Linked DNA regions of Lepisosteus oculatus. The protein of the gene in region 1 interacts with the protein of each later gene in a biochemical or structural test. Links are inferred from orthologs where the notes say so. Each region holds a gene or a part of one and is shown on either strand. Other genes may lie near its edges.

Region 1 (15,273 bases):
TTTTTCTATAATAGAATAGTTCATTCCACAGATGTAAATAAAGTCATGTAAAGATTGTACATGACCACAATTTACTCCTCTATGGATGCTTTATGTAACATCAAATTAACGTTCTATCAAGATAAAAAATAATTGTACACAATACACATATGAAAAAAGTCAATATATCTATCCGTCTATTTTCCAACTGCTCCATGCAATCCAGGGTCGCAGGAGAGCTGGAGGCTATCCCAGCAAGCAAAGCACATAAGGTGAGATACACCCTATACCCAGGTAATGCAGACAGGCCAGGCACGCAGACACAAACACACACACACTCACATCAGGACCAATTTTCCCAGGAAAATTCCCAGGAGCCAATTAACTTACCACTACGTGGTGAAACTGGAACACCTGGAGGAAACCCACGAAAACAGGGAGAAAACATACAAACTTGAACCCAGGGCCCCAGTGCCGCAAGGCAGCAATGCTAACCACTGCATCACTGTGCCACACCCATATCTCAAGGTATTACCTTTTTTAAATAAACTTAGAATCACAAATAATTTAACTACTCACTCAATCTGGAATTATTAATCAAGCCAATCATCTTTTGACATGCTCCAAGCCCTGCAATGATGTACAAGAAGACAAGTGCTGATTGGAGGAAAGGCACGCCAATCAATGACATCACCACAAACCAGCAAGCACAGGGGTTGATGCTTTTGGTGGGAATCCTGGCTGAATGCTCTAAGCCCCAACCCTTGGAGTAAGTGTATTGGAATCCCAGTCACTGGACACAGCTGACTTGTGGTATGACTTGTGAATTAATGATGTCTAGACCGAAGAACTCAACCTGCATAGTGTTTAGCACTTGAGCCACTTGGGAACACTCAGACAAGCTACTGTTCTTCTAATGTATAAAAATCACAATGCTCCTTTCAACCACACTAGTTTAAGATTAGAGTCCCGGCCTTAGGAAAAAATTCAGTGGCCATAAGTAAACTGCTAGACATGCAGACTTTAAATGACCTGTACAGTATAGAAAGAAACAAAGAAATGTGGACCTGGTATACACAATTTATCACACCTGAAAGAGGATTAACATCTGAAATATTGTGCTTTCATTCTACCTTTCAGCTTGTAATTAACCTTTACTTGGTCATTTGTAGCCAAGCAGCTATCCACTGAGATTTGTTAAGCAATTAGTGAGAGATTTAAAGTTCCCTTGATGTTTCCTTTAGTTATATGATGTGAATTCATAAAAAGTCTTGAATATAAGGACTTAGAAGTTTCTATTCCACATATAACAACTATTCACATTTTTAGATCTATAGGAGATCTGTAGATTCTTCCACGGAACATGTGATGTTTTTTGCCCAGGTGGAGTTCTACGTCCACGCTAATAGGTGTTCAAGTGAGATAAACAAAATTCACACACTGAATTGGGGTGATTAAATTAGCGTTCTTAACACCAAATAAGTGTTACATTTAATGCCTCTTATTGTTGAACGACTACAAAAGGATTTGCCTGATATCCAGACCTTGTTTTAAAAAGAGAGATAAAAGATTTATTAACTTGATATATGCTAGCAACCTACATATAATTACATGACAAATGACCATGATCAAAATCAAGAGTCTTCATCGAGATATCACTGATAAGAGCAATGGCAGAGTTTATCTGTGATAAAATCTTGACAAGATTGTATAATACAATGTGATATTATGTCAGATAAATTTATTCTTACTGTTTAAATATAGACAGCCTTTACACTATATTCCTCATGTTGAAAATGTCTAGGCTCTGGAACATTTCTCCGTAAACAAGATTCTGTTTTGATAACATGCATATTGTTAGAATGTGTTCTGACCTACCATTATTTTATGTCTCCTTGCCCTATTTTCTTCTTCAAATCTAACTGTACTGCCATGCGTTCTGTGTAGCACCAATATATTCTGATCTTTATGCTGGTGTTTGGGAAGAGGAATCAATATTTTATTTTGGTACTACTTTTTTCCTGAATGTTATTTTCCCTTTGGGGGAGGACTGTTCATGAAGTATGTTGAGTTCTGGTAAACTATATAGATTTAAATAAGTTTACGATATATCTTTCTTGTCCAACCCAACGCATTTGGAAATGTGTCTTTGGCATCACCATACAAACCTACAAAAAAATAATAAAATAAATACACTTAAGAAATAAACAATAGTCTTAGACGTGTTACAATACATACTGTATACAGACATCTTTTCTCTGCCCATATCACCCTACCATTACACATAATCCGATAGGTCCATACAAGAAACAGTCACTTAGCTGCATTTAATATACCGATTGAATAGGGAACAAACGGTTTCTTGTGTACTTCAGAGAGAATACAATTTTGATTATATGGGGTTGTTAAAAATCTAAATTTGTACAAGAGACCCAAAGAAACCAAATACGTCTTAAAGAGCATATCACTTTCATCCACTGTCACTGTCAAAAATAGTTCACACAAATATGTGGATTGAAAAGTATTTGCAAGAGAGAATCAGAATCTGATTTTAAATGGAATTCCTGGGAAATGAAAGGAACGAAAAGGATGAAAATATTCAAGTTGAAGAATCTGTAATGAAAAAAGAGCAGGACTTTTATAAATCAAACCAAAAAAGAAAACAGATAATCTCATATTTAGAAATAGATATACCAAGTTGTTAGAAGATAATTGCCACAATTATTACTGAATGCCTGCTTTGTGGTTCATAATGGTGGCCAAAATCTTAAGGAATCTTTGGGTCAAGAGAGATTTGTCATTTTTTTCTGAAAATGTCTTAGCACCTTCACCAGATGGAAACTACAGTAGCAAAGTGAGTGGGGGCTCACTGTTATAGTAAGGTCAAATGTGACTCTTTTATACATCCGCATACAAGACAAATTCTATGAAAGAATTCATTTCATCTACAGCAAAGTGAGTTAGCTGTTTAACTTCGTATTTACAGCATATGTGAAAGGACTATGCATTAAGAACAAAAAGGTACTAAAAACAAAGAATAGCTGAAAACTGTAGTTATAAAAGATCTTGTAATTTAAGTTTCCCACTAGCTGTACATTTTACTGCAGCTCATTGTGCAGTCCCCTTTCTTAGTTATGCAGGCACTGAGAAGAGAAGCTTCCAGAGAGGTATAATCTTTAGAAGAAACACATTCTAGATCCTTCCTCTTCATACTAATACATAAGACATAATAGCTTAAATACTAAACCTTATATTATTTTCATGAGCTATTTTCTTAATTATCCACTATGAGGGTAATATACAATGTATGTAAGGGGATTTGTACTAATTAGCATTAATAGTCATTTTGCCCATACAGTTGTTTCATAATCACATAAGATATATTGTGGGCTGTTCCCTTTTTCTATACATCATAAGGTTGGATAAGACTACTTTAGAATTTCTATACCAATTCAATTATTTCTATCAAAAGAGGACTCATACGTATTTTTAGCAAATAAGGAATAATCATACGTTTATGCTTTGATGTAAAATTAGGACTTGGGCTTCCTCCTGGGTGTTGCATTGTCACATTTATTGCCAATTGGAGATAAAAGATGAGACATTACCAAGCTTTTTATATCCTTCCTAAGGACTACTTGGTGTCTGAATGTTGATTTAATAAAGTGTAAGTATACAAAATAAAGAGTATGTGACCAATTCTGTTTTAAACTAATTTTAATGGATTTACATTGGTCAGAATTTCACTAATTTAGGGTGAGCATTCTAATCATTACTCACATGTTATGTCATGTTACCTTTAAATATGCCTGCTATAACAATGTTATTGGGAATATATGAGTTCACGTCATTTTCTTTTTCAAGTCATACAGACAGACAACAGTCCTTGCCTGAGCCTCTCCCAGCTACGCAGGATATTAGACAGGGAGATCAATGCTTTCCACTGTTACTTTATGAATAATTATTAATTCTAGACAAAATACGAAATACAAATCATTTATCAAATTTTGCCTAGACTGGATACCACAGATGTGACAGAAAATAAATGTGTTACTCTGCCTTAAAAGCTTTATAGAAAATCAACTTCTTCTATCTGCTGAGAAGTTTCTAGTTAAAAGACTGTGGTTAAAAGAGTGGTTAATGTTGTTTCTTTTACAATTTGCAAACTCTGAATTTTTTGTTGTATTTTTTAAAGAACCAAACTGGGTATTATTCACACGTGAGCTAAACGACTCTATATAGAATCTTACAAATATTAATAATACCATCTACAACACATTCACATATATTCTTACACTAAATTATACAGTGTATTGGCGTAGTACTTTAAATTAGTGCAGACAGAATTTAGTTAATAATTACCCTAGGAACACAAATATTCACTGTATGAAATATTTTGAACTGGAACCACCTCAAAAATATAAAAAATGACATTTTGTTCTTTGAAAAATAAAAATGGATCATTGATGGTATTAATCTATTAAACATTCTGATACAAATGACGTTTCCTTATAAAACAGATGCAGTTAAGCTTTGAGTAACATACTATGTTACCATTGTCATCAGGTGACAATGACATTAATGATTTGAGTTTAAACAACAGAAGGCAGTCTAAATTATAAAAAAAAAACACAAAAACAACAGCACCCATTCCATAGACAATGTCTATGGCACCCGACTCAGTCCTGCCTGGAGAATCAATTGTGCTGGAAATACTCTGTAAATTGCCTATTCCCTTCCTAACTTCATCCTGTGGTGCCCTTCCTGCACTGAGCAAGATGAAGCTGCTGCAGACATGCAGGCTAGTGTCTGCAGACACAGGCATCAGAGAAACAACCAACTCTGTTATCGGAGCGATAAACACAATCCCTGTCTTCAGAAGACCATGCAGATAAACCAGAGGCATAAAGCCATCTTCAATAAACACAAGACGAAAACAGCTGGCATTCAAACGGGCAAAGTGAAAGCATGCATACAGCTACGCCATCCTATTTCAAACCCCTCATCTACAGAAGTTACTCCATTTCACCTTATGCATCTATGCCGGAGAGACGGGTCTTCCTTCTTTTCAGTGCAAAAGAAGCATATATTGCTTGCTATGTTTAATAGCTCCTTGAAGATGCAAAGGATCCTCAGCTGCATTGCGGCTGTTAAGTAAAAAGAAGGTGTCTTGACTTTAGCACTTGTGAAGTCAAGTGTTGGTGTCTTTGTCTTTGCTCACAAGTAATGTCTGGTATCAGTATTCCAGTCTGCCTCAGCAGAATGCTGCTCTCACTGCAAGGAGAGAGCTGCTGTGAAGCCAGTGCAGGTGCGTGCTAGTGAAAGCCACCACACACCATCCGCAAACTGACAACGGTCGCATGCTGCACGAGACAGCCAATTAGACACAGAAAGTGTCTCGGCCAGCCACTGGGAGACAAAATCTCAGGCAGCTTAGTGGTTGAAAAAATGCCCCCAGAACATTTCTCCAACCCAGCTGTATTCAGACAATTGGGACCAGTCTGATATGTTTCTCACTGTTTGTCCTTGCCTCAGTTCCTCACAATGTATAAAGACATAATTATTTAACATAGCCGTTAAAACACAGTACCTGCCACAATACTACATGTGAACTATTTTGGAAAACATTTTAGCTTTTCTTTTTAAAAGCAAAACAACAGAATATTGAAATATGCTGTGTTTAATCATCATATAATTTGATCAAGGTAATAACATGAAAATAAAATTAACATCTAGAACCTTGGCACACTATAGTTTTACAAAGCAGGGCTTAACAACACTTTTCCTGCAAAGCACCCTAAACATAATGCTTTCCCAGCACCAAATAACACTGCATTACACTGCATAGCTGTGATAGCTGTGGCTGCTGTAGTGTTGATCTTTCCTAAATGCTTCATCTTCTCTAGCACAACTGGTATTAAACTGTGTACCCACCTTAACTCTCACACTGCCACACCGTTCATCTTCAACAAAAAACATTAATCATAAAAAGATTGTTTGTTAATTAACATTTTGCTCTGAATGCCCATTTTGTTTTTGAAATTCTCATTCCTGCCTAACAAACTCATAACTTTCAACCCATTCCAGCAAAAACTGTTTCCACACTCACCCTGCTTGTTTCCAGAGGCTGTAGTTCCGACTCTGAGGAAGAAGTTCGCGTTTATTCAGTGGGGCAATGCCCATAGCTGCTTGCATTATAGTTAGATATTTTTTGTACTTCATTTTGTACACTACAGGACTACACTATGTGCCGTCCAGCAACTATGTAGGTTGCAAGAGGTCCATTTAGTTAAACTGATATTTTTCGGAGCAAAAGAAAACTCTTTGGTTGACAAATCGAGAATTTGCTTTCTGAATCTCATGAGCGTCATTCTTACATAATTCTAAGGATCTTCAAACATTACACTAATGAAAATGCTCCAGGGGGATAATTGTGGTACTAAGCCCTGACAGATAATGTAAATTCCCACATTCCCCATAATCCCCAATAAAACCCAAAAGATAAATCTGAACCATTCCTTGGAACATTAACCCCCCAAAAACTGCTGTTGATTCCCAAAATCACCCCGACACTGCTTTAATTTAGAGGCGGCCATGTCAAAGTCTGTGCGTTTGAAGCCAAAAGGGGGTACCCAGAATTTCTTTTAAAAATAATCTCTTGGAAGAGCAGCAGGGCAGCATATCAGGGGAATGCAGCTTTGGAAAATGAAATTATGTGCCGGCAGCTTGCACGAATGGATTACGTCCTTCTGTGCGGCTTCTATTATAAACCCAGGGATTTTAGTGCCAAAGAACGATAAAATAAACACAATTTAACTAACCATTAAATACACAATAATTAGCACAACAAATAAAACAGTTTTTTGCACAGACTACATGCTTATTCTGTACAGTCTATCATGTCATGGAACACTTTTTGAAAAGTCTAATTTTCAGCTAGCAATAAGATCTGTGCGTCCACCTACCACCAATATAAACAACATCAGACATTGCTGTCAGATAATCCTGATAATATTGAGAAAGCATCAGTCAGGAAAATCACAGTTGAACTCTTTAACTTGGAAACCTTTGGTAATTCTTCTTTCAAAAGTCTGCATCTCCAAGCATTTCTCACACATAACTGAATGGAATTACTGGAACACACCAGCAACAGCAAACTTTACAGTCATAGCTGTTAAAAATACCAGACATACTTCTTTCTGGAGACCAGACAGGAAGAGATAAATATACTGTCACTTATAATGATGACTTCTAAAAGAAAGGATCCATGTCATAATTTCGATAAATGATTTTGAATTACATTTACTATTTACATATATAGATAACATAGGTTCTACTTCAATTATTGCACTCTTTATGGCTGATACAGTTTATTGACATCTGATTAGAAATGTGACATCTGTACCAACTCCAAGATAATGATGTTTTCGCTGCTGTTCTTAAAAACTGGAAGTCCTTTGCTTGAACATTAACACTTTCAACTAAGCCAAACTAACACTTCCTACTTAATATAAAAAGTATGCTAAAGCTTTAAGCCACACTCAAACGTGCTGTAAGACATCGCTTAGAATACTGTATCTGGCATTGGTCATCATGTTACCAAAATCTTGTTGTTGCCTGCAGAGAACAGTGGAAGAAATTCTAGGAATAACCTGCATGTAAGTGGAATGCAGGTGGAGATTCCAAGTTGACTTGCATAGTGCTGACTGTTCAAGCCAACTGGGAGGGCAGAGTCTTAATGTGGGGCGAACCTCTTGAGACTTGGTGCAGATTCAATACAACCTTCTTGCACAGCTGCACACTGACATCCTCCAGCCAACAGGTTTCTGTACCCATAAGATGATCTGAAATGTCTGATTTTCTAATAGGCCTATCAAGGAACGGACTTTGAATATCTGTAGGGCCTGGCTGACCTTGCGAAGACTGGCCACTCCTTCTGTACAGCTGGTGGAGGCTGGCCAATCGACGGCATCAACAGGACACATCCATGAGTGGCAAGTCTTTGCCTGCTCTCTGAGGCTGTGCAGAGTGGTAGATCATTCTACAGCAGACTTTCCAGAGGCCCACCCCACAAAACATCATGAAAGCTACACCCATCCATTCTCTAACCACTTTATCCTATACAGGGTCACGGGGGAGCTCGAGACTATCCCAGCAAGCAGCGGGTGCAAGGCAGGACACACCCTGGATGGGATGCCAGTCCATCACAGGGCATGAATACTACATATAAATGTGAATTATGCATACTGCATACTGAGGTGGAAAACCAGATTGAAGAAGGTCAGAGATCTCCCTTTCAGTTCATGTACACAGAAAGACTTTGCAAAATGATCAAAGTATAAGTATAGTGGATACATATAGATATACTGTAAGTATATAGTAGATAGATTAAAGTATTTTACATATAGTGTAAGAATAAAATCCCTCTAGAAAAACTTCTCTTTAGCATTAAGTATCCTCTTTACTGAGAACTCAATGAGTCCAGCTTAATCTTAATGCTAAATGATAAAATACACAAAGTGACACCAGAATTGGTGGCAGAGAATCTTGATGGATCCAAAGAGCATCATCCTAATAGCTTCCCAGCTTCCCAACATAGCGCAGAGTAAATATCAGCCTTTTTTATCCCCATATAAAAACAAATCAGCTACCGACTCTTCACAGCATAAAGTACGGTCAAAGAATTTACACAATGTGCTCATGTAACATCTAGTACGTAGCACATCCTTTGCATATTTTTATAATTGGAATCTTGGACTATACCCACTGATGTCCTACTAGATATTCCCATCATTGGTATAATGTAATCTATATATGTTCATATTGTAACGCATACGGCCGACATTACAGGTTGTGCGAGCCGACTTGCCAGCGTGGTGATGTCACCGCCCTTCCCTGTGAATATATAAAGATTTTCCTTTAGCTCAGCTGGCTGGTTCCCTGCTGAGTGACGCCAGAGGCCCAGGTTCGAGCCCCAGCAGTAGAAGGCCGACCTGAGACCCACGTGAACCTGGAAGTGCTACAAAATCCTTAAGTTCCACAGTTTGCATTCTTTAACAACTGATTACCTGTTTTTTTTTCCTGAATCACATATAACCTACAGTATTTCCCCTGCTTTTACAGATGCATTTACTTCAAGATCTGATATGTTCAAAGATCATATGGTACTTTTACTGTTGTGCCTTATCACTTGTACATCTAAATATTTTTTTTTTGTTGTAATATGCCAGTCTAAAACATTTGTACTTTAATGTTAACAAGTGTGACTAGATCTTTATATACCACTGTATTTTCACAGATAACCCATTCTCCTTACTACAATAGGAAATCCCACTTCTCATACTGTATAATGACAACAGTATCCATCATTAATGTCCATAAAAAGGAGTTCAGCTGAAGCAGACTGTGTAATTGAAGCCATCGGTCACACAATATAACCACTGACTACAGGGCTATTAAATTTGTAGGTACCAAGGGAATGTTTTGATATCTAGCCTTTTAAAATTTTAATATAAGCAGCATTCTTTTCACTCACATTACTCAGATTTAATATGAAACATGCATTGTAAAATCACAATTACTACTGAAATTGTATATTTTCAGTGAATCTCTAAGTAAAACCAAGTTGATAACCTACATGGCACAAATGTAAAAATGACATCTTTCTCCAAACTTGAATGAACAATTACTATTTATTTGCTGAATTTAACATATTGAAAAAGATAAAAAAGTTAATTTGGCTTGCGCAAATGATTGGACATTTTCCCAGCTGATTAATGACTACTTTTTTAATTTGTGTTTTTCAAAGGTCCCTAAACCTGACTGACTCATTAGGCCTTAAATTAAGTCAGTTGAACAAATACTCTGATTCTTCTAACCTCTCAGGTTGTGATTGTTGTTCTGCCAACTTTCAACAACTATGGGCTCATACAAAATAAAGATAACTGACTCTTTTAAAGCACGTGAAGGCTATAAAAAGGTTGCTAAATGCTTCCAGCTTGCAATTTCAACTGTTAGAAACATTATTAGAAATCATTAAGAAATGGAAGTTAAAGGGAACTGTTGTAGTCAAGGCAAGATCTGGAAGACTCAGAACAATCTGGGTCAGATATGCAAAGCAGAACCCACAGATCAATGCAAAGGACCTGCAGAAACGTTTAGCTGCCACTGGAGCAGTTGTCCATTGGTCCACAGTACAGCGTTGCTTACACAAAAATGATCTGCATGGGAGAGTGTTCAGAAGGAAACCATTCCTATGACTTCATCACAAAAGTCAACGTCTGAAGTATACAATACAAAATCTTGATAAGCCAGAAACCTTTTGGAACAAAGCGCTGTTGACTGATGAAATGAAAATTTAATTTTTTGGCCATGATCACAGAAGGTACATTTGGAGAAAAATGGATGAAGCATTTGAAGGAAAAAAAACCTAGCCAGCTCTTAAGTTTGGGGGTGGATTTGTTATGCTCTGAGGCTGTGTGGCAGCCAGTGGCACAGGAAATACTGTATGTGTCACAGATGTCGGAAGTGATGAACCGTAGAATGGCAGGAAAGCAAGCAGACCCTAAGCGTAGCGGCGAGACGGGGGTTAGCCCGGGCTCAGCTGTTCAGGAAATGCCGTATAGAAACCTAGGCCCTCAGGTAGCGGACTTGGGGCGACCTGGTGCTAGGCGGGTCTCAGGACATCCGAACGTCAATGCTGAGCAAAGGCAGACTGAAAGACCCGGAAATATATAGTCCAAGAGAGAGAGAGAAACACCGGAAGGACAGCAGAGAACCGGAAATGAGAGACAAGACAGAGAAGGAGCGCCCTCTGGCTGCAGAGGACGTGACAGTATGGGCGGAAGGAAGAATGGATTCAACTAAATATCACCCAATCCTAGAATCTAATGTCCCAGAGTCACTGAAGAAATTGAAGCTGAAAAGAATCTGGATATTTCAGCAAGAAAACGATCCAAAACATACCTCAAAATCAACCATGCAGTACCTACAGGAAAAAAGATTAAGGTTTTGGAATGGCCTTCATCGCCCCCCACCTTGAATATTACTGAAAATCGGTGGGGAGATCTTAAACATGCAGTGCATGCAAGAAGACCTCAGAATATTTCTGAGCTAGAAGAGTTCTGCAAGGAAAAGCGGGACAAATTCCAAAAGTTAGAATGGAAAGACTCTTTGCTGGCTACAAGAAATGTTTGGAAGCTGTGATTTCTGCCATTGAAGGTGTTACAAAGTACTGACGGACATGGTGCCCAAACGTTTACACATGCCACATTCACATTTTTAATTTTTCAATCTGATAAATACCATTTGTGCATTACAATTTGCAGAAAGATGTTTACGTTGGTACAACACAGAGGTTGTGTCAACATCTTTTAACTTGAGAGATTCACTGAAACATACAATTTGACCAGGGGTGCCCAGCCTTTTGCACACAACTGCATAAAGACCTATAATAATAATAATAATAATAATAATAATAATAATAATAATAATAATAATAATAATAAATTGCTTACATTTATATAGCGCTTTTCTGGACACACCACTCAAAGCGCTTTACAGGTAATGGGGTCTCCCCTCCACCACCACCAATGTGCAGCCCCACCTGGATGATGCGACAGCAGCCATAGTGTGCCAGAAAGCTCACCACACATCAGCTATCAGTGGGGAGGAGAGCAGAGTAATGAAGCCAGTTCATAGATGGGGATTATTAGGAGGCCATGATTGGTAATGGCCAAAATGTGGCCAGGACACCAGGGTTACACCCCTACTCTTTTCAAGAAACACCCTGGGATTTTTAATGGCCACAGAGAGTCAGGACCTCAGTTTTACATCTCATCCAAAGGATGGCGCTTGTTTACAGTATAGTGTCCCCATCACTATACTGGGGCATTAGGACCCACATGGACCACAGGGTGACACACATAAATCAGAGCCAACACTGTCACTCTGCTCTCATTTGAAAGAGGCTCAGCACATATATTTCATGAAGGAGGTAATTTCTTTTTCTGGTTAAAAAGCCACACAAATTTATCTTTTTAAGCTCTAACATATATCATACTGTATGTCCTTACAATCTTAGATCCTGAGGATGAAGGCTAGAACTTTTAGGTTAGCACAGAACGTTATTCAGATTCAACAAACTTGTTTGGCATGACTGGTGAATTACAAAGCAATTACCACAGAAATAACAATTACTAAGATATTTACAACAAAAAAAACATATTATTATAATATGGTTCACTATCTGTCCCTCAGGCTGTGACAGGAGATCACATATTGGGCCACTAGCTTTATTGATTTTCAAATCCCCTCCCGCAAGAATGGAGGTTCTTGTGTATCTGACAGTTGCAGGAAGTCTGGGATTGGATTTGTTGTTTTAGGGAAGAATGATGTCTAATCCCAGAGTATTTAATGCACTGCAGCAGAGAGTACAACTCTGTCTCTGATTCTCCCTGCTGTCAGTGGGAGTCTGTTGTCTTTGGACAGGCAGGTCTGACTGTGTCATCCAGTTTCTATGGCCAGACTGTGGTCAGCGAGCCTGTCCTCTCTGGGCAGTCAGGTCTGTCTGTGTCCAGTTTCTATGTCCTGGCTCTGGTCACTTAGCCTGTCCCCTCTGGGTAGGTAGGCTTGCCTGTGTTGTCAGGTTTCTATGCCCAAAATGTGGTCACAGAACCTGTACTTCATCAGGACCTGCTTCTCCTTGTTGCTGCTCACCCTGGACAGATATACGTTGCCTGTGTATATTGTTTTTGCAATTTTACAGTTGGACATAATCTGAATCTTCACACCTGCACCTGTGCTAGATGGGTCGAATGGCTCTCTCTCGTTTGTAACAATTCTACATCCTTGTCATTATGCTCTTCCAAAGATTGGGCTTTTTTTCGTTGGTGTTTAATCCATACCCACCCAATATAAACCATGATTAATCATGCCTGAAAAGCCCCAGCCACTATCTCACGTGTTGCTTGAGTATTTTCGAAAACGTGATCTCCAACGAAAACAATGGATCTGGCTAATACTGACGTTTTCACAACAAAGACTTTTCTCCCTATTTCGTTACACATAGAAAGTGTTCATGTTTAATGGAAACTTCCATTTCCCAGAAAAAAAGGATTTTTAGCAAAATATAGAATTACAATTGTTAGTCTCTCAATTTATAATTGAATATACATACATACAATAATTAATAAACACTACATTATGCAACTCTGCCTCAATACAAACGGCTGTCCTGAAACCAGGAACAGGGAATCAAGTAAATGAATACGCATGTTGATAACTTTCTATGGAACTTCGACTGAGAGGTTACTTCCGCAAACATGGAAAACAGAGTGTTCTCAATCGAAGGAAAACTCTGGAAATTACAGATAATTGATACATTTACTGTACATGGTCAGTAGTGAAATTTATTTGCATCATTGCAATCATTACAATAATCAAGACACAAAATCCAGATGGCCCTTATCGATCTCTAATACTGTACACGAAAAGGACGTCAGAAGTAAAAACATCAACGACAACCACAAAACCCATATTGATAAAACCAGTAAAGGTAAAGGGTTTATTCAATGCTGAAAAGAGAAGAAAGGTGTCGCCTGAAGATGGCTCCACAGCCGAAACGTTCTTTTCTTTCCATTCAGCGTGGAATAAACCTACCTGTTCCGTGTTTTGCCATACTGTAGATCAGTCTTTTAATACAGACTTTAGTATTTGTAGACTGATTAGTATAAATCACGCACACAAAATCAAAGATCACAGAAGCCGTAGAAGAACTTAGACCCCGAGACGATTAAGAGAAGGAGCAGGGAGGGGCGAAGAGATTGTCACATTCAGGTTCATGTCTTGTTCAACGAAATTTAATGTAAATTTAAAAGCAAACAAACAACAAAACATACCGGGTTTTTTTTTTCAAACAGCAGGTGGTAACGCAGAATTGTACAGGAACCGAGTCAAATGTCCCCCTTCACAATAAATCCCGCTATCAGTGCAATATGAATCCAACTTTTTCTACAACGGTGCAACACTCTCCCGAATGGCACTGAACCCTTGCAATGTCCCTACAAGTCAGCTCTGGGCGTGTCATTGAAACTACAGTAAAGGTGAGCTTTACGCACAGCCTCATGCCAGTTTTTATAGCATCCTGTTCCCACTCAGCTAGTTTCACTTGCTTTGTTACGAAAGAGCTTCATGGGGAGTTTAAACGGCCATAAAGCAACACAGATTAAAACAACACAGGATTATGTTGGACACGTAACTAACCCCACATGCAAATCGAATAGTTTGTAGGGAGCCCATAGGGAACATTTTCCTAACGTGCCGTCAAACCACATTTGCAGCAGGTGTTATTTTCGTTACCAAAAAGTCTAAACGTCCTTTAAAGACGTTTGAGTACCTTTACTCTTTCAAAATAACTTAAAAAAACAGTCGTCTTCCACTCTGAAATTTAACTCTCATTGCTTTGAGGGCGAGGCCTGGAGGTTCGACTGCTGATTTTCCTGGTAGAGCCTGTTTGACCAGCTATATGCAAATTTCCTTAAATCCCAAACTGAAAACCTGTCGCGACTCGGAATCGGCACTATTCGTGCTTCTCAGTACTACTACTAGCAATATCTCACCCTCAGCGTCTGGACACCTTAGTAGATGCGACTTTCCTCATTTTTTACTACGCATTAACGATGAGCTGTTCAGTATTCTCGGGAAAGGGCATGCAGTACAAGATTCATCGCCACATTTATTTTCAGGCTTCCATTTGTACAATCAGACATGAGGGTTTTGTAAGATGTCCTAAAGTGTTGTAACAGCAGTACAAACAAAAACATCCAGAAAAGTTTAAAAGAAAAAACACAAAGCCCCAGCATTAAACACAACAAATGCGAAGCACCAGTGAATAAGTGAATAAACCCCACGTGATTTGGAGGACTTTCAAGAGGAGTGAATCATACTCGAGTATTATTTCCTGAGGAAAAATACGTTCTGAATTCTTTCACAACACTCCCTTTTTATCAAGGGTCTAGATTCCATACAAATATTGCGCAAGAGTCCCCTGCCTGCATTCTAGAACAATAAGTGTGAACAGTGTGTTTATTGAACGTATGGTCCAGGATTTATAACTGGTATAGACTTCTCTGTGGCAATTCATAGAGACTGAAGGTGCCATTAAACACTCCACTTTCACCCATTTCATCCTGTTCAGGGTTGCAGGGGAGCCAGAGCCTATCCTGGCAAGCAATAGGCGCAAGGCAGGATACACCCCAGATAGGATGGTGTATCCAATCGCACAGCAGCAACAAT
Region 2 (15,775 bases), on another chromosome or scaffold:
GCCCTGAAGGGTGAAATGGATTAAGAGGATATAGATATTCCAAGCCTAGTTGAAGCTGTTTTAAGGCCGCTGTGCCACGGTCACAAGCCCCCCTCGGAGCTGTGTACCTCTCCCTGCAAAATACTGCAAGCTTGAAGGCTCCTGGCAGACCACAGGGTGGCACTGTTACCCTTCCATAACAACCTGCACACCTACCCAGCCAGCTAGGGAATCCTGGCCACAGCACACAGGAAGAAACCCAGCTTCACCCCATCGAAGACGAACGGGCCGCCAAACAGAAAATGAGGTCTGTACTGCTGTATCCTTGAACACGGGCACTGACAGCTCCCGTCCGCCACTCTGAAGACCAACTGCAACCGACGCCCACCTCACTCACAGCAAGCTCGGAGCAAAACCTGGACCGGATCACACTGCAGCACAGCGGGAGTCTGGACCCCTATCCCCCTGCGGTTTCTGCTTGTGTACGCCAGGCACACGTCATGCACTGGCCTGGGCACGGCTTCTCTCCCGCACCATCACTCAGTCCAGTTCACTGTCATACGCACAAGTGCCATGGAATGCTTATTGGCATGTGTGCTCCAATACAAAGACATTAAGGAAACACCAACAACGTAAACACAGAACAGTGGTAGCAACAACAACAACAACAACGTTAAATAACATACAGTTCAGGAAATAAACATCTGTGTGAGCCAGCGGCGGGGGTAGAGTTCAGTAATCCAACAGTCTGTGGGAGGAAACTGTCTCTGAATCTGGAAGTTTGTGCCTTTATGCTCCTATAACGCTTCCCAGAGGGAAGGGGGGAGAAAAATGAGAAAGCAATATGACTGATATCCTTAGCGATACTTCCAGCCTTCCTGAGACAGCGAGTCGTAAACATGATCGCAATAGAGGGGAGCTGTACCCCAGTGATGGACTGGGCTGACCTGATCACCCCCTGTAACGTCTTCCGCTCCGTTGAGCTGCTGCCAAACCCCACTGTAATACCACACATGAGCACATCCTCAGCAGCGCACCTGGAAAATGTGGTAAGGCTGGTGGTCTCCGGTCAAGCCACGGGGACACCTCCCTGGCACGCCCCTTCATTTGTCCACCGGTCTCCCCATCACTGTTGCCAACGCTGTCGCTCTTTAACTCTTTCACTTCCACTGCATCTCTCTCTCCCCAGCCTGCTGAGGGGCTTCCTGGTCAGCAGGACACAGGCCAACAAGCACTGCACATCCTTGTAAGCAGGCTTGGCTTTTATAGGCCGGTTCTGAAAATGGCTGCAAAACCCAGCAAAGGTCTCGGGAACTGAGGAACTGAAGAACAGAACCGGGCTCTGGCTCCGACCCGCGCTGCACCCCGCGAGGACGGGTCAAAGAGCAGGCGAGACCGGAGCGCCCCCAGGAGGCGAGAGAGAACGGAAATCAGGGTTGTGGGGGGGGGCTGGACTCCCGACGCGGAGAAAGAGGAATTAAGGGACAGGAAAGGAGGGGAGGGGCCGGGCGAAGCCAAGCGCTCGAAGAATGAACCCTGAAGCGATCTGCCCGTCGGCCGCGGGGGCCCCTGCCAGCCGAGAGGCGCCGCATTCCGCGCATCGCGGGGGCGATTTTCTGCTCCACATGCACACAATGGAGCTCCCCCACACACACACACCTCCGACCCGCGGGGGGGCACTGGAGCGGCCGCTCCTGACCAGAGGGGGGGGGGGGAACAGAGGCGGCACAATTCAATGCGACTTGGTCTCCTTCCGCCAATACAGATCACGATCCCAACTGTTTTACCGATTAGACAGCTTAACTGGTATTAACTTGGCAAAGGCTTTTAAACAGAACTGACAGGGATTGGAATGACTGGATGTTACTGCCTACTAACTGGAGTCCACTTACACATCTGTGAAGAGTCCCATCAAGGTACAGCTGTCTCCCTGCTGGAGTACCAGCTGCCTTGCCACCCTGCACCAGGCCGGACTGGTCCACATCACCCTGTTCACAGCTGTGGACTGGCCTCCTAAAACCCTTCATTTCAGCTTGGCTGCAACGTGGGCGTATGCACACCGTCCTGAGGGTTTCAGAAACCGACCAAAGTGCTGTTGGGAAAGACCACTGGTTGTCACCTACACTGTGTGACCCGAGAGGAGAAGCCACTGGGAATGTAGAGAGTACAGGGAAGGAGAAGAAAGAGCTGGGCAGAGGGAGGGGCAGAGGGGAGGCTCACAGGCAGGAGGAATGCCAGCAGAGCTCTGTTATCACTGCCTGGAAACTCAGAGTTCTGATAAGACAGGACACTCTGGACTGGGAGAGGGAAGGAGTGGAAGAGAGGAATGTAAGTAGCTTTATTGGCATAACTGGTGAATCAGAGCATTGCCAAAGCAATAACAATTCGTTTTTTCTGACATACTCCCAGACTACAAGAGGAAAGGGACAGCAGTGTCTCCAGTCCAGTCAGGGGTGTGTCACTGTGTGAATTCAGGGGCAGTGTGAGAGGAGAGGGACAGCAGTGTCTCTAGCAGTGTCTCCGGTCCAGTCAGGTGTGTGAATTCAGGGGGAGTGTGAAAGGAGAGGGACAGCAGTGTCAGTGACAATGTCCTGAGATGATCAAACATCCAGTAAACAGGAGAGGAATCCCCCAAACAGAGCACACAGTTTAAACACTGATTAGTTCGGGAACTGAAGAGTTAATCTTATTCCAGACGCCCGACAGGGAGAAACACTCACATTAGTCACTGCACTAAGGCTTCCTGGCCTCAAGTCACCTTGACCCAGAAAGACTGTAAATATTTGAGCGCCTAGTGCTGTTCCTGCAGTGCAAAGGTGCTGGAGTGACATCATGGGAAAAGAATTTGAACAGATACGCGTGGCGCAACAGAAGCAGGGAACATATTTTTGGCCGAACAGCACCAGTGGGTGACACCCTCTACCCCCTTACTCCAGGAGCACTGCAGGTAGGCCTCCCCAGAGTGGCCCAGACCGATCTCGCTGTAACAGAGGAGCCCGATCCCGTTGAGGTTAGGACCTTACAATCCAGACGCAATCCGCGTTTGGAAAGAATGCGGAATTTCAGTGACTAACTGAGCCACTGCGCTGCTGACCTCTCTCCCAGCTCAGGGAGAGTGATTTGTTAACGGCGCAGTTAATAACAAACCAGGCTGACAGTGAAGCTGCTCAGGGCAGCTCGGACTACGCTACAAGCTCAGCAATCCCCAACCCAGCCGACAGTGAGGCCCGATTGGTCACAGTCAAGTCGGCGAGCTAAGCCCAGTCTCCTCCTCAATCCTGAGTGAGGATCTGATTTTCGGATCGATGACCCTATCAGACTGTGCTCCTCTCCCGGAGTCTCCCCCCTTACAACCACCCTTTCTCTCTATCCCATTCCAAACTCCCCATCCCTCCCGGGAAGACGTGGCTCCAAACTTCAACAAGATTCCAACTCAGCTCAGGGCTGCGGTGCTGAATTCCGTTTTCCAGTAGCCACACAGGATACTGCTCCCCAGAGGCCCGAAGTGTTTGCTGACCTGTCAGCTCAGCGCCTCCTGACAGTCGTGCCGTGGTGCTGAAGATGAAAGCCACAGGCAAAGGGATTATGAGGACTGCATCACGCCAGGTCATGGCGCAAGGAGACTAGAGAACTAGGGTGCAAGGGGAGAGAGGGAGATCGGCACCCCAGCAAAACTCTCCTGGATCGAACGCCTCAGGCAGAGGAAGGAAAATTCTACGCGGTTTTGGTGGCCAATAGCGATCAGACACCACAATGCATTGCGAGAAAAAAACACTGTCTCAGCTTCAACACAGAAACGCACTTTTCACAAGTCATCTGGGTAAGTTTCCAGTTCCAAATGCGCGCTACACTTACATTCATGTCAAACTGTATTTTTCTTGTTTAGATGATTCTAGGTTTATTCATTCATATTTCATCAATATTAATTGGACATTTACAGAGGACACAGGTCCCAACACTGGTCCTGGAGGAACGCTGTCTTCGGATTTAAATGTTCTGTTTGGGGCCTATTTGAAACTATGCCATCAGCTCTCAAAGAGACATGTGGGATTGGTACAGGGTCCCTCCTGTGTGGGCGTGTCTGATGGAGTCCCCCCCCCCCGGTACCCCATACAACTGGCCAGCGCTGTTCAGTCAGGAATAAGGGCCAGCAGGTGAAGGAGGGAGGCTGCACAGGGCTCTGTGTGCTGCAGCAGCTGGAAACAGCTTGCTTGAGGCGGGGGATGACTGACACTCAGGACTGACCCAAGAGAGGAGTAAACGGAAGGCTAAAGGAGACAACAGATCGATTAAAGTCATCAATCAGCACCGGGAGACGCAGAGCTCAGCTGGATTGAAAACCAGCAGACCGTGCTTCACGAGGACCAGATTCGGAAACCACTGCATTAGAGCACAAACAACGCTCCCTACCTCTAGCTACGCGATGACTTCTACCCCGAGCTGGAAACTGTTCTTACCCTGAGCGACTGCTAGCGACGACCCATGCCGACACATCCTGGGACCCAGCGGAGGGATTTTCTGGAGCCAGCTGGGTTCGGGAGCTGTATGAACGAGCCACGGCTAGCGAAGAGCTAGTGAACATGTCATTAGCGACCTGAACGACCTCGCCGGGCGGGCTGGCCCATTTTCAAGCGGCAGCTCATCTGTGGGACTGGAAGACACAGCTAGCAGGCGTCCCCAGTTCTAGGCTCAGGGCACACAGAGAGCGCGATTCCCGGGGAGGGGGGAGCTGGTGGCAGCTGGTGGGTGATGTGGGAAGAGGGAAGGGGGATGACAGAGATCCGTGGGATCATTTCCAGCGATTCAGATCTCCTGCTTTCTTCAAGTTGTTTCAGGAATTTGAGAAACAGGAGGATTTCAGGGTGACCTGTAAGGTCTGTTAGACTGGGATTCCCCAGGGACCCCTGGGTGACAGACTGGTGATTTCAGTGTGACCCGTGGGACCTGCTGGACTGGATCCGTGGGAGGCCCAGGTGATCCGGGCAGTCCCTGCAGCTAGCCCGGGGGGGGGAGTCCCGGCTTCTGCACAGGCTCCCAGCAGGGGTGCGAGGAGGCTGTCCACCGGCTGCCTGAGCCCCTCTTTCCCTGCACCCCGCTGGGCATCAGCCTTCAATGCCCATCTGAGCGGCCTGGGAGGGGGTGCCGCCCTTTAACCCCTATAGCTGAGGGGCTCCTGGGGACCACTGTGGGCTGCAGCAGGTCATCACCACGACCATGTGGGTGGGATGCACAGTGCGTGCCCTAGGGCCGTCTCTTCTCGTGCGGGCGTGTGGACGTACTACACTCATCTCTTCCCCAGATACAGCACTGCAGCATCTCAATCATGAGCAGGATGGCACAAACTCCAGACCGGGAGGGGGAGACTCATCCCAGCAGGTCTGCTCAGCGAGAGCAGGAGTCAAGAATCGACGCTGCGGGGCACCAGGGCCCAGGTGCTCCCAACAAGACCAGAGAGGAGCGATTTCAGCCCCTGTCCCCGGCAGCTCAGGGCCGGTTTTTGTCCAACAACAGCAGCAGGTATGAAGAAACCAGCAGCCGGCGGCCAGCCTCCTCGCACCCCCGCTGGGAGCCTGTGCAGAAGCCGGGACTCCCCCCCCCAGGGCTGAATGCAGGCACTGCCCGGATCACCTGGGCCTCCCATGGATCAAGTCCAGCAGGTCCCACGGGTCACGCTGAAATCACCAGTCTGTCACCCAGGGGTCCCTGGGGAATCCCAGTCTAACAGACCTTGCAGGTCACCCTGAAATCCTCCGTTTCTCAAATTCCTGAAACAACCTGACGAAAGCAGGAGATCTGAATCACTGGAAATGAAGAGCCCAAAACAAGCCTGTTGGTTTCCAGGAAGACCGCTGGCCTGTTAAGGAACGTCTCTGGCCCCGAGGGGACTGGGCTGGGGACCCCAGTGAGGGTGAACCCAGCCCGCAGCCGCAGCTCCAGCTTTCCTCAGGCCCTGTGGTTTAAGGTCGACGCAGTGCGTGATCACGGACCAGCGGCCTTTCGGGACACGGGCGGGCGGCTACACTGGACAGGAGGCGTCGCTGGACACTCGCTCAGCAGCCTCCACTGCGCCCAGCGGCTGCCAGAGCTCTTGCAAGACCCAGCAAAGCAAACTTCCATTCTGAAGAGCCCCAGCCGCTGGTGTCGGGTTCAACACAAAAACCCTGAGCGGATCAGACTGCTGTGCACCTGGAGTCAGAGACCGGCGACGCCGTAAAACCCCGAGCGGATCAGACTGCTGTGCACCTGGAGTCAGAGACCAGCGACGCTGTAAAACCCCGAGCGGATCAGACTGCTGTGCACCTGGAGTCAGAGACCGGCGACGCCGTAAAACCCCGAGCGGATCAGACTGCTGTGCACCTGGAGTCAGAGACCGGTGACACTATAAAACCCCGAGCGGATCAGACTGCTGTGCACCTGGAGTCACTGACTGACACCACCACTAAACCATAAGGAGAGCAGACCAGACTGCTACGCTACACATCAGTAACAATACCATGCAACCTGGAGCACATCAGCGTGTTGCGGACTGGGAAATCCTATCGTCAGCACTGTAAAACCCTGGAGTGGACCAGACTGCTATTAGAATCCAAGTGCCATGCCCTCTAAATTATTTTTTTTTTCCTTTTTACCAAAACCCCTAAAGGAGACCAGAAACCACAAGACTGGCACCACCACAAAACACACACACGGATGATTTTTTCCCCGTTTCCAAGGCTAAGACGACCCTCTCCCCCCCCCCCGCCCCACAGACATGATCCCTCTACCCGACCGCCCCACGGCGCGACCCCAGCGCGCAGGGCAGCCGTGGGAACACGCCACGACAGGCAAAGCGCCCTTAAGACGAGCCGGCTGCCCCACGACCAACATCGGAGATCCGAGCGCCCCCAGCGGGCCGGCTGCTGCCGTTTCCCCCCCGCTTGCGCAACAGAAACCGGCGGTCGCCTTCACCCGAAACCCGCCTGTTGCTCCAGAAAACCCGTCCTTCCCGGGGAACAGGCGGCGGGGGCGCCGCGGAAACGACTTGAATTTTAAAAAAAGGAAAAGCCTTCGGACTGGTTGTTTTTTTTTTTGTGCCTTCAGACAGGCGACATCTCCACCCGCGGCGGAGCTCCGAGCGCAGAGCAGGACGGGCGCTGAGACGCGCGGGGGGGCGGTCGGTTCTCGCCAGCCCACCTGGACAGGAGACATGTACCCACACACACACACACACACGCAGGTACCGAGAGAAACTAGCTAAGAAAGGGCTCCCGTGTGTGTGGAAGTGCGGGCGAGCCTGGGTCTTTGGGGGGGGGTCTCGGGCAGGTGGAACGAGAAGAAACGAACCTAATTCGTGTTTGATTTGGGTTAAGAGCGCAGCAGAGCTCGGCGATGTGGTGTTAAACGGCAGGGACTCGCTGCAGTGGTGTGTGTGTGTGGTGTGGTGTGCAGTGGTGTGTGTGTGTGATCCGTGTTCACTCCTCCGCCGCCGCCGCCTGTAGCGCACAGGTAGACTCGCTCCCGCAACGACGCACCTGCGTGTGAGCTAGGAACTGTGGCCAAACCGCCCAGAAAGCCTTACTTATTCCCCGTTTGCTCGTCTTTCTCGTCTTCCCTCGACTCCGGGGAAGACCGGACCGAGTCTTGAGCCCGGGTCCGACCCAGCGGACAGCCCGACCCGGGGTTCACTCACCTGCCGATCGAAGTCACCGATCCGCTCCTCCTTCGAAGAGAAGAGATGTCTTTTACGGTGGGTCCCTTGCTATAAGCGACGTTATAAGCGTTTTTCTTGCGGTATCTTTTCTCTCTTGTCGTTGTTTTCAAGTCTCATTAAAAAAAAAATAAAAAAACAAACCCTCGGCGACACAGCTCCGTCATTCAACCTGTTACCCTCCGCGACTGATACCTTTTCTTAGGGATGAGTCCCACCCACCACTTCTCTGTAGGCGCTGAATGATTGGCTGTTTACCGGACAAAGAGGCGGAATCCTAAGTTATTTCATTAATGTTATTGGATAGAATGCGCTGTCAATCTCCTTTCTGCCTGTAATATCAGGTCCAATTGGATTAATGGGCCGTCTGTTAACTATTAAGAACGCCCCCGGCCGCATGTGATTGGTCGAAAGGCTTTGTTATTGTTAACGCAGCAGAACAAAGTTTCACAACTTCTCTTTTCAGCGTAAAGTCTTTGCAGAACAATTAATAGTAACATTCATTTTTTTTTACCGTGCAATTCAGTATTCACTGTGTGACTCTGTGTCAGAGCTTTTTGTATGTATTTATTTTGTATGTAGTGTAATGTCAGTAGCTACATCACCCTGCAGCTCCCAGCTGGCAGCCCACTGGAGCTCAGCAGGTGTGAGCCTGGTCAGTACCTGGATGGGAGATTTCTGGGAAAAACTAAGGCTGCTGCTGCTGGAAGAGGTGTTAGATGGGCCAGTAGGGGGGCGCTCACCCTGCGATCTGTGACTCTCTGTGGTCGTTTTTAGGGCGTTTCTCTAAAGGAGTTGGGGCGTTACCCCCGATGTTCTGGCCAAATTTCCCCCTGGCCTTTACCATCATGGCCTCCAATCCCAATCCCTGTCTCTGAACTGGCTTCATCCCTCTGCTCTCCTCCCCACTGAGAGCTGGTGTGTGGGGATAGTGGCTCCCGGGAAAATCGGCCCTGCTGTGAGTGTGTGTGTCTGCCCTGTGATGGACTGGCATCCTGTCCAGGGTGTAGCCTGCCCTGCACCCTTCCCTTGCCCTGACAGACTCTGGGTCCCTCTCGGTCCTGTAGTGTGGAGGAAGAATCATTATAAAATGGATGGATAACTCACTGGACTGGACCTGTGCAATACAGTGGTTGCAGGCACCTGCCCTGCTAAATGTAGTATATATGTAGTGTCTGTAGTTCAGGTGGGGAGCTGCGTCAGCGGGCGTAGGCTGCAAAGGAACAAGTAATAGGTTTATTCCATGCTGAAAAAAAGAAGAAAGAGAACGGCCGAAACGTTGTGTTCTCTTTCTTCTTTTTTTCAGCATGGAATAAACCTATTACTTGTTCATATGTAGTGCCTTGCTTGTGGGTGGAATAGTGCCCTCACACACACACACAGCAGATGGGAAACATAAGGAACTCGTGTAATTTTTATTGAACAAAATCATGATTGAAAGAGGCAACCACGTAAATGCTAGCAGGCCGAAGATGCAAAAGCAACGGCGCATTTTCAAAGCGTGTAAAAAGAGATCAGCCGTCAGTTCAGAACTCCGCGGACAGAATAAAGAGGGTGCCGAGCTCGGCAATCCCACGAGGTGGCGCCGTTTAGCTTGGAAAAACAACGTGAAGCCAGTCCGAGACCGGGAATTGTGTATTTTTATTACGCACTCGCCTTTTTCTCTTTTCTCTTCTGCTTTTGAGGGACACTGCTCCTGGGAACGTGCTCGCTAGTTCATCTGTAGCTCTGTTAGTAAATTATGCTGCTCCCCACTGTTTTACTGAAGAGAAATTCCAGAAACGCAAATGTCAGACGAGCGAACGGCAGCTCAACTGCCGGCTCGTCCATGAAAACCCTCCTTTCGCGTTTGGAGAGTCGGCCTGCAGCGCCCCCGTCAGGAATTCCACGTCACCGGGCTCACAGCCCCCCTCTCTCCTCGCAATGTGCTCACTTCCTCAGCGAGACGAAGATACGCTTCTAGGAATTAGTTCTTCTGTCTCACGAAGGGCTGCGGACCAGGGCGAGACCGTGACTCGTCAAGAAAAAGCCCCAGTCTCGAGAGGGGGAGGGGGGAGAGTCCCGCACCGCTCCCCAGCATCGCGCACACTTCCAAAGCTCAGCTTGCGAAGTCTACTTCATTCTCCTTCATTTCAGCCCGCGTTAAAACTAAAGATTGCTGCACGAAAAGAAATGACAAAACAACACGAATTACATATAATATACTCAGAATTGGTCGAAAACCTTCTTTACACTTGTGCTTTACTTGGATCTCACTGGGCTGTACTGCACTGTACTGTGCTCTTACCCTGATCGCACTGGGCTTGACCGCACTTTACTGTGCTTTTACCCTGATCTCACTGGGCTTTACCGCACTACACTGTGCTTTTACCCTGATCTCACTGGGCTTTACCGCACTACACTGTGCTTTTACCCTGATCTCACTGGGCTGTACTGCACTGTACTGTGCTCTTACCCTGATCTCACTGGGCTTGACCGCACTTTACTGTGCTTTTACCCTGATCTCACTGGGCTTTACCGCACTGCACTGTGCTTTTACCCTGATCTCACTGGGCTGTACTGCACTGTACTGTGCTCTTACCCTGATCTCACTGGGCTTGACCGCACTTTACTGTGCTTTTACCCTGATCTCACTGGGCTTTACCGCACTGCACTGTGCTTTTACCCTGATCTCACTGGGCTGTACTGCACTGCACTGTGCTTTTACCCTGATCTCACTGGGCTTTACTGTACTGTGCTTTTACCCTGATCTCACTGTACCTTTAGCTTAATTTACTTGGCTTTTTACTGCACTTCATCAATATCTCACTGAGCCGTTCTTCTCCAGTGTTCCGTCACAGCCAGTGTTTTCAGAAGTGTTCTACCTGTGTCAGAGCAGGCGGCGCGCCAGAATCGGAACCGGCCCGGCCCGGCCCGGCCCGCCGCCGTCAGTCCAGGATCTCCTTGATGCACCAGCAGCACAGCAGGAAGTACAGGCACTCCTTGAGCGACTGGAGCAGCCCGTAGGAGAAGTTGGCTCCCAGCAGGTTCTTGTTGCGGCCGAAGCCCAGGGCCATGTCGCGGAGGGTGTGGCCCACGGAGGAGGGCGCGGCCTGGGGGACGGGGCGCTGGGGCTGCATGGGGCAGCGCTGTGGAGGCCGGGCGGGAGCAGAGGGCTCTGTAGCTCCTGGCGCTTTCTCTCCCTTCGCTCGCAGGGAAGTTTAGTTGTCTTCCTCCTTCTCGACCCGGCTTACCTCCCGTCGTTTTTATCGATCCGGCCCGGTTTTGTACTCTTCCTCTCTCTCTCTCGGGACCAAGTGGAAATCGCTGGCGTGCCCGGCGCTCAGTGCCTGTTTATGTCTCCCTCGCCCACCCCTGTGCGGGGACCCCAGTGCACCTCCCCTCCCCCTGCTGAGCTCATCTTTTTCTGCCCCTCCAGCTCTTTGTGCTCGCCCCTCTGGAAGGGTCCCGGCTCGTCCACATCGCTCTCGCCGTGTGAAGCGGCGCTGCTGACCCGCACACGTGGCGTGTCAGGCCCCGCCGTCTCTCTTTACAAACACAAATCCTGCTCGCTCCGTTTCTCTGGCAGGCTGAGCACAAGCGAGTGCACACTCCCCCCTCCCTTCCCTGAACCAGCACCCCTGTCCCTCTCTCTCTCCAGCAGGCTCTCCTGCCTTCCCCGGTTTTCTGTGGACCACACCTTCTCAACTCTGCTTCCTCTCCCACTCCCCTGTTCTCGACCACCTGCCCCCCTCTTCCTCCGTGGACTCCCACCCATCTCACTCAACCCTTACCCAGCTCTCTCCCTTAACCCACCTCTCTTAACCCTTACCCAGCTCTCTCCCTTAACCCACCTGTCTCCCTTAACCCAGCTCTACTGACCCTTACCCACCTGTCTCCCTGGCCTGGCCCCAGCAGTCAGTTCTTAACCACACAGGCACAGAATCAACATACCACACCTTGAGACAGTGATCAAAGCAGGAAATACAAGAAATTATATTTCAAACCAAATCCACCAATAAAGGTAAAAGACATGTATAATGCATATATATATAATATATATATAGATATAGATGTAAACGTTTTATCCCCCAACATTAACAGAAAGTGTACAAAAAAAACCTCAGTGACTGAGCTTTGGTTTATAACAATAATACAGATAATCTGAAACAAGCAGGATTTATCGTACAGGTGCAAAGAGAGACGCAGAGGAACAGGAGAGAGGAGACTGCCTCTGTGCGCAGGTTCTCTGAAACATAAGCAATGGCCGGAGATGAGGGAGAGTGTCGAGGACTGGGAACGAGGGGGCCGGGTTCGAAGGTGGAATGATCCTCGCTCACTCTCTCAGGGGCTGCCCAAATACTGCCTGGAGGACCCCCCCTAAATGCCCTGATATTGTGCCTGTGCAGGATAGGACAAAATCTAACATTAGCACACAAACAAACCCCTCTGCCACCAGTTCAGTGTCTCACTTTGTCCAGACTCGGACAGACACAGGAACTGCCCAAACCGTCGGAGTATTACTACTACGCATAACGCCCAAACGTCCGTGCTGATCTTCGGAAAGACCCAGCTGGCTGTGCTGCTTTAGGGACTTTATAACTGAAAAAATAAACACAATCAAAAAAAGATTTTTCCAAACTCACATTTTGGCTCCCGGATCTCAAGGGAAGCCTGCAGGGGCCGCTGAGGGCCGCAGAGGCCACTCGAGAGGCGAGCCGGGACAACGGAGGCCGAGGAGCTCGTGGTCACATACTTCTGGTCACTCCCCCAGTGCCCTTCCCCCTCCCTTTGACTTTTGACAACTTCTTTGTATGCTGTTCTGTTCTTTGTGTGTTCTGGACCGTGAGTAACTCTTCATAGTGCACTTCTCACTGTACTGATTGTACTGTATTATTATTATTGTATCATTAGTAACACTGTTCCTGTGTTGTCTGTGTTAAGCTGCTGTTGCACTGCAATTTCCCTCACGGGATCAATAAAGTATCTATCTTCAATCCCATCACCCAGCCCCGCAGCTGGGCGCTGCCCACCTCCCAGTCTGTTGCGACTGAAGCAGTCCCCGCTTTTTCATAACACAGCTGACAATATTCTAAAAAAATCACACACGTTCAACTCTGCACACAGCACGACTGCCAAGAAACCTGCTATTGAGGGATGGGAGAGTGGGAGCATAATGCAACGGATCGGGATTGATCATTTGGAAAAGATGCAGGGGCTGCTGGATTAAGTTTGAGTAAACTGGTGAACCAGACTGAGGACTGGACCTAGTGTGTCTGGTGCTAAAACTGTTCTTTGTTGTAAAGGCTGTTTTGAGCATCGCCAATCAAGTTCCGCCCACACAGGAAGTGGGAGGTGGCTCCAGCTGTGGGACAGAGCAGCATGATTGGCCAAGAGCCACCAGCTGTGTTCCAGACTCCTCCCCCTTTTCCTCCTGGCACTCCCCCAGCACCTCAATAGCCATTAAAAAGAAGCTCCCCCAATGCTGTAACATTTGTCTAGATCTTGTATATATATTTTGTTAAAGTTAAAATAATTTGCATATGAGGTGGGTTGGGCCATAAAAAATTACTGGCCCAAAAGGCACATTAAGAGAAAAGAAAAATTCAAAATCTGAGAAGAGGAGTCAAGTCCCGTGGTTTCTGTCATCCCTCTCTCCTCTCAGTTTCTAAGAAACTGCATGTACACCACAAAACTGAAACTGTATCATTTATATTATACTCTATGCATATCTCCCTACGATATGTGTTTGCACAAGGGTTTATAAAGGATTGTTCATGATTATTTTAATTACTGATTGTCTTGATTGATGGGTTTTCCTGTGGTTTTCTTTGACTGATTGCTCAGAAGCCAGGCAGTGTAAGGCTTTCTCTTCCACAAGCGTCATGTGGCCCCCACCATACACGACTGACCCACAGACCACCTACATCTCTCATGAGAAGGTGTCCTTCAGATAAGTTAGTTTTAGACCACTTCAAAGACTTGATTCCCAGAGCTGGAGTGGACTACAGCTCCCATCAGCCCAACCAAAAGCTTATGGGTGGCGTAGGTCCATTAAGGGAGAGATGGCAAAAGTCCAAATCACGGGCTGAAGAGGCAGCCACAGTCTGGAGCCAAGCCAAAGCCACTGCAGGATGTTCCGACAGATGAATCCATAAGGGAACACCCAGATTCATGGTAAGGTTCCATGGCGGGAGAGGCCAGGGGAAAACCGATCAGGATAGGGACAGGAAAAAAACAACCAATAAACCGCAATTCCCAGAATGCACTAGGACTACTGGCACAGTGCAGCACCTTTGTTGAGCTGTCAACCTCACCGAAGACCCTGCCACCTCACAATCCCATTTCTTCCCGTCACTGACATGGCTCTCAAAAGACAGACCATCCCCTTCCCAGGAAGAATCTCACTAATAAACCTCCCCAACCCCTCCTAACAAAGACAGGATCGAGTACCGAACACGCCCTCCAATTCCTCCACCCATCCCTTCCACAGTCCTCATCCGGAGGGCTGCTACCCAGCTGTGCTCAGAAGGTGCGGCGAGTTCTACGGGCTGTATGGGAGGCCAGCGCGCAGAATGAGTCTCTCCGTTTCTGCCCCAGGTTGGAATAATTATGGAGCTGTCCTGAGGGCTCACAATCCTCTGCTTCGTCACGGACAGGGCGGCTTGGCAAGAATCCGTGTCTTTGGGTATAGACACCGCTCCCTAAGGTGCTGTGGACCCCCCAGAAATTCTCCTCTTGGGGTTGCCGATATGGATGATTGAGGATTCACTGGGGGCTGCCCAGTGACCCGCTTGACAGGGGGGGATGATCCCTGAATCTTTAATCCCAGTGCAGCTGTGTATTTTATTTTGAACACACACGGCTCCGATACGATGTCTGTGGGAAGACTGCTGGGTAGGAGGGATTGTATCCTGACCCTCTGGCCTGGCAGGGATACGCTTGCCGGTGGAGCTGGAACCTGAAGACAAACCGAGAGGGGTGCAGATACTGTGCTGTAGCACCCTCTTCCCCCCCCCCCCCCAATATTTATTATCCCCGGATAACACCCCCTGGATGATTTCCAACACATTCACTCCAGAATGTTTCCTGCTTCAGCCGAGCCTGCATTCCGACGCCCTCACTCCTCCCAGGTTTCCAGGAGCACGAGGAGGTTTTGCGTCCGGCGTTTCCAAGGATGTGCAGAAGCTGCGGTGTCCCAGGGTTACTGATGGAGATCTCAAACCTTCACGCCGCTGGGCGCGTGCCCCATTACTGCACCCCTATAAAGCGAGGGGGTACACACCCCACGGGAGGGCAGGAGGAAACCTGGAGTGCCCTCTTCGCTTAATTCATACAGTCCACATAGCGCAGAGCTCATTCCGCTGAGACACGCCCTGGGAATTCACCGAGCAGAGGGTGGGGGGGGGGGGTCTATGAACCCCAAATTGTTTCAGTAAGGCTCTGTTGGGGTGTCCAAGGACTAAGGCAAGTCCAGAGACGCGGGCTGGTGTGGGACATGCTGGGACCGGAGGAGCACTTTGGAACGGAATAGTTCCTGCGCTGGCTGTAGCTGCACTTTTTTTACAAAGTACCCCAAACTGCTCTTAGGGCGGTCATCCCCTCCGTCACTGAGCTGACACCTACCCCAGCAGGAAGTGGGGACTGGGGTTCATTTTACTGCCGAAATGCACGGTGGGGTCTCTTGAATGCCCCTGGGATGTGCTCTGGAGTGTTTTGAACCCCCTCCTACCTGCTGTGTGAATACAAGGGATCAGGGTGGAAAGGGGATAGCAGGAGTGCCCATTTTTGGGGTCTCAATGGCTTTGGTGTTTAAGGTTCTTTTCTGGGAAGCAGTAGTGTTTTGGGGCTGATTTCGTGATAACGAGTTTCTTTAAGGCGACGTGGACCCCCAGCACAAGGCAGGCAGGAGGAGACGGGGAGAATTTTTGGCTTCTGTGCAGCGACCCACGTTGACTCCCTCGGGCGCTTAAGGCCGACGCTCCACGGGCTGCTGAAGGCACACCTCGCTCCCCGCCGACACGATGGGCAGGCGATTGTCCATGTGATAGCTGATCAGGTGGCTGACGCTCTCGAACCGGTGGTCCTTGGTGCGCACCTGAGGATGGAGAGACAGAACTACACTGTAGG

What was found.
Region 2: the proteins of tjp2b (region 1) and cingulin-like form a complex in vitro, tested with the Homo sapiens proteins (2 studies listed by BioGRID and IntAct, with this or other methods). The link is inferred for Lepisosteus oculatus from reciprocal best matches to the Homo sapiens genes TJP2 and CGN.

What each region holds. Positions count from the first base shown.
Region 1 is NC_090698.1:57,829,357-57,844,629, reverse strand, and holds the start of tjp2b (tight junction protein ZO-2b), read right to left. Parts: upstream 6,253-15,273; 5' UTR 6,202-6,252; coding exon 6,089-6,201; intron 5,243-6,088; exon of another isoform or gene 5,122-5,242; coding exon of another isoform or gene 5,009-5,121; intron 1-5,008. UniProt on the Homo sapiens protein: Plays a role in tight junctions and adherens junctions. Acts as a positive regulator of RANKL-induced osteoclast differentiation, potentially via mediating downstream transcriptional activity.
Region 2 is NC_090722.1:5,543,831-5,559,605, reverse strand, and holds the start of cingulin-like, read right to left. Parts: upstream 7,874-15,775; 5' UTR 7,649-7,873; intron 1-7,648. Other genes in the region: lenep (lens epithelial cell protein LEP503), read right to left, coding at 10,594-10,785; shc1 (SHC-transforming protein 1), read right to left, coding at 15,615-15,743. UniProt on the Homo sapiens protein: Probably plays a role in the formation and regulation of the tight junction (TJ) paracellular permeability barrier.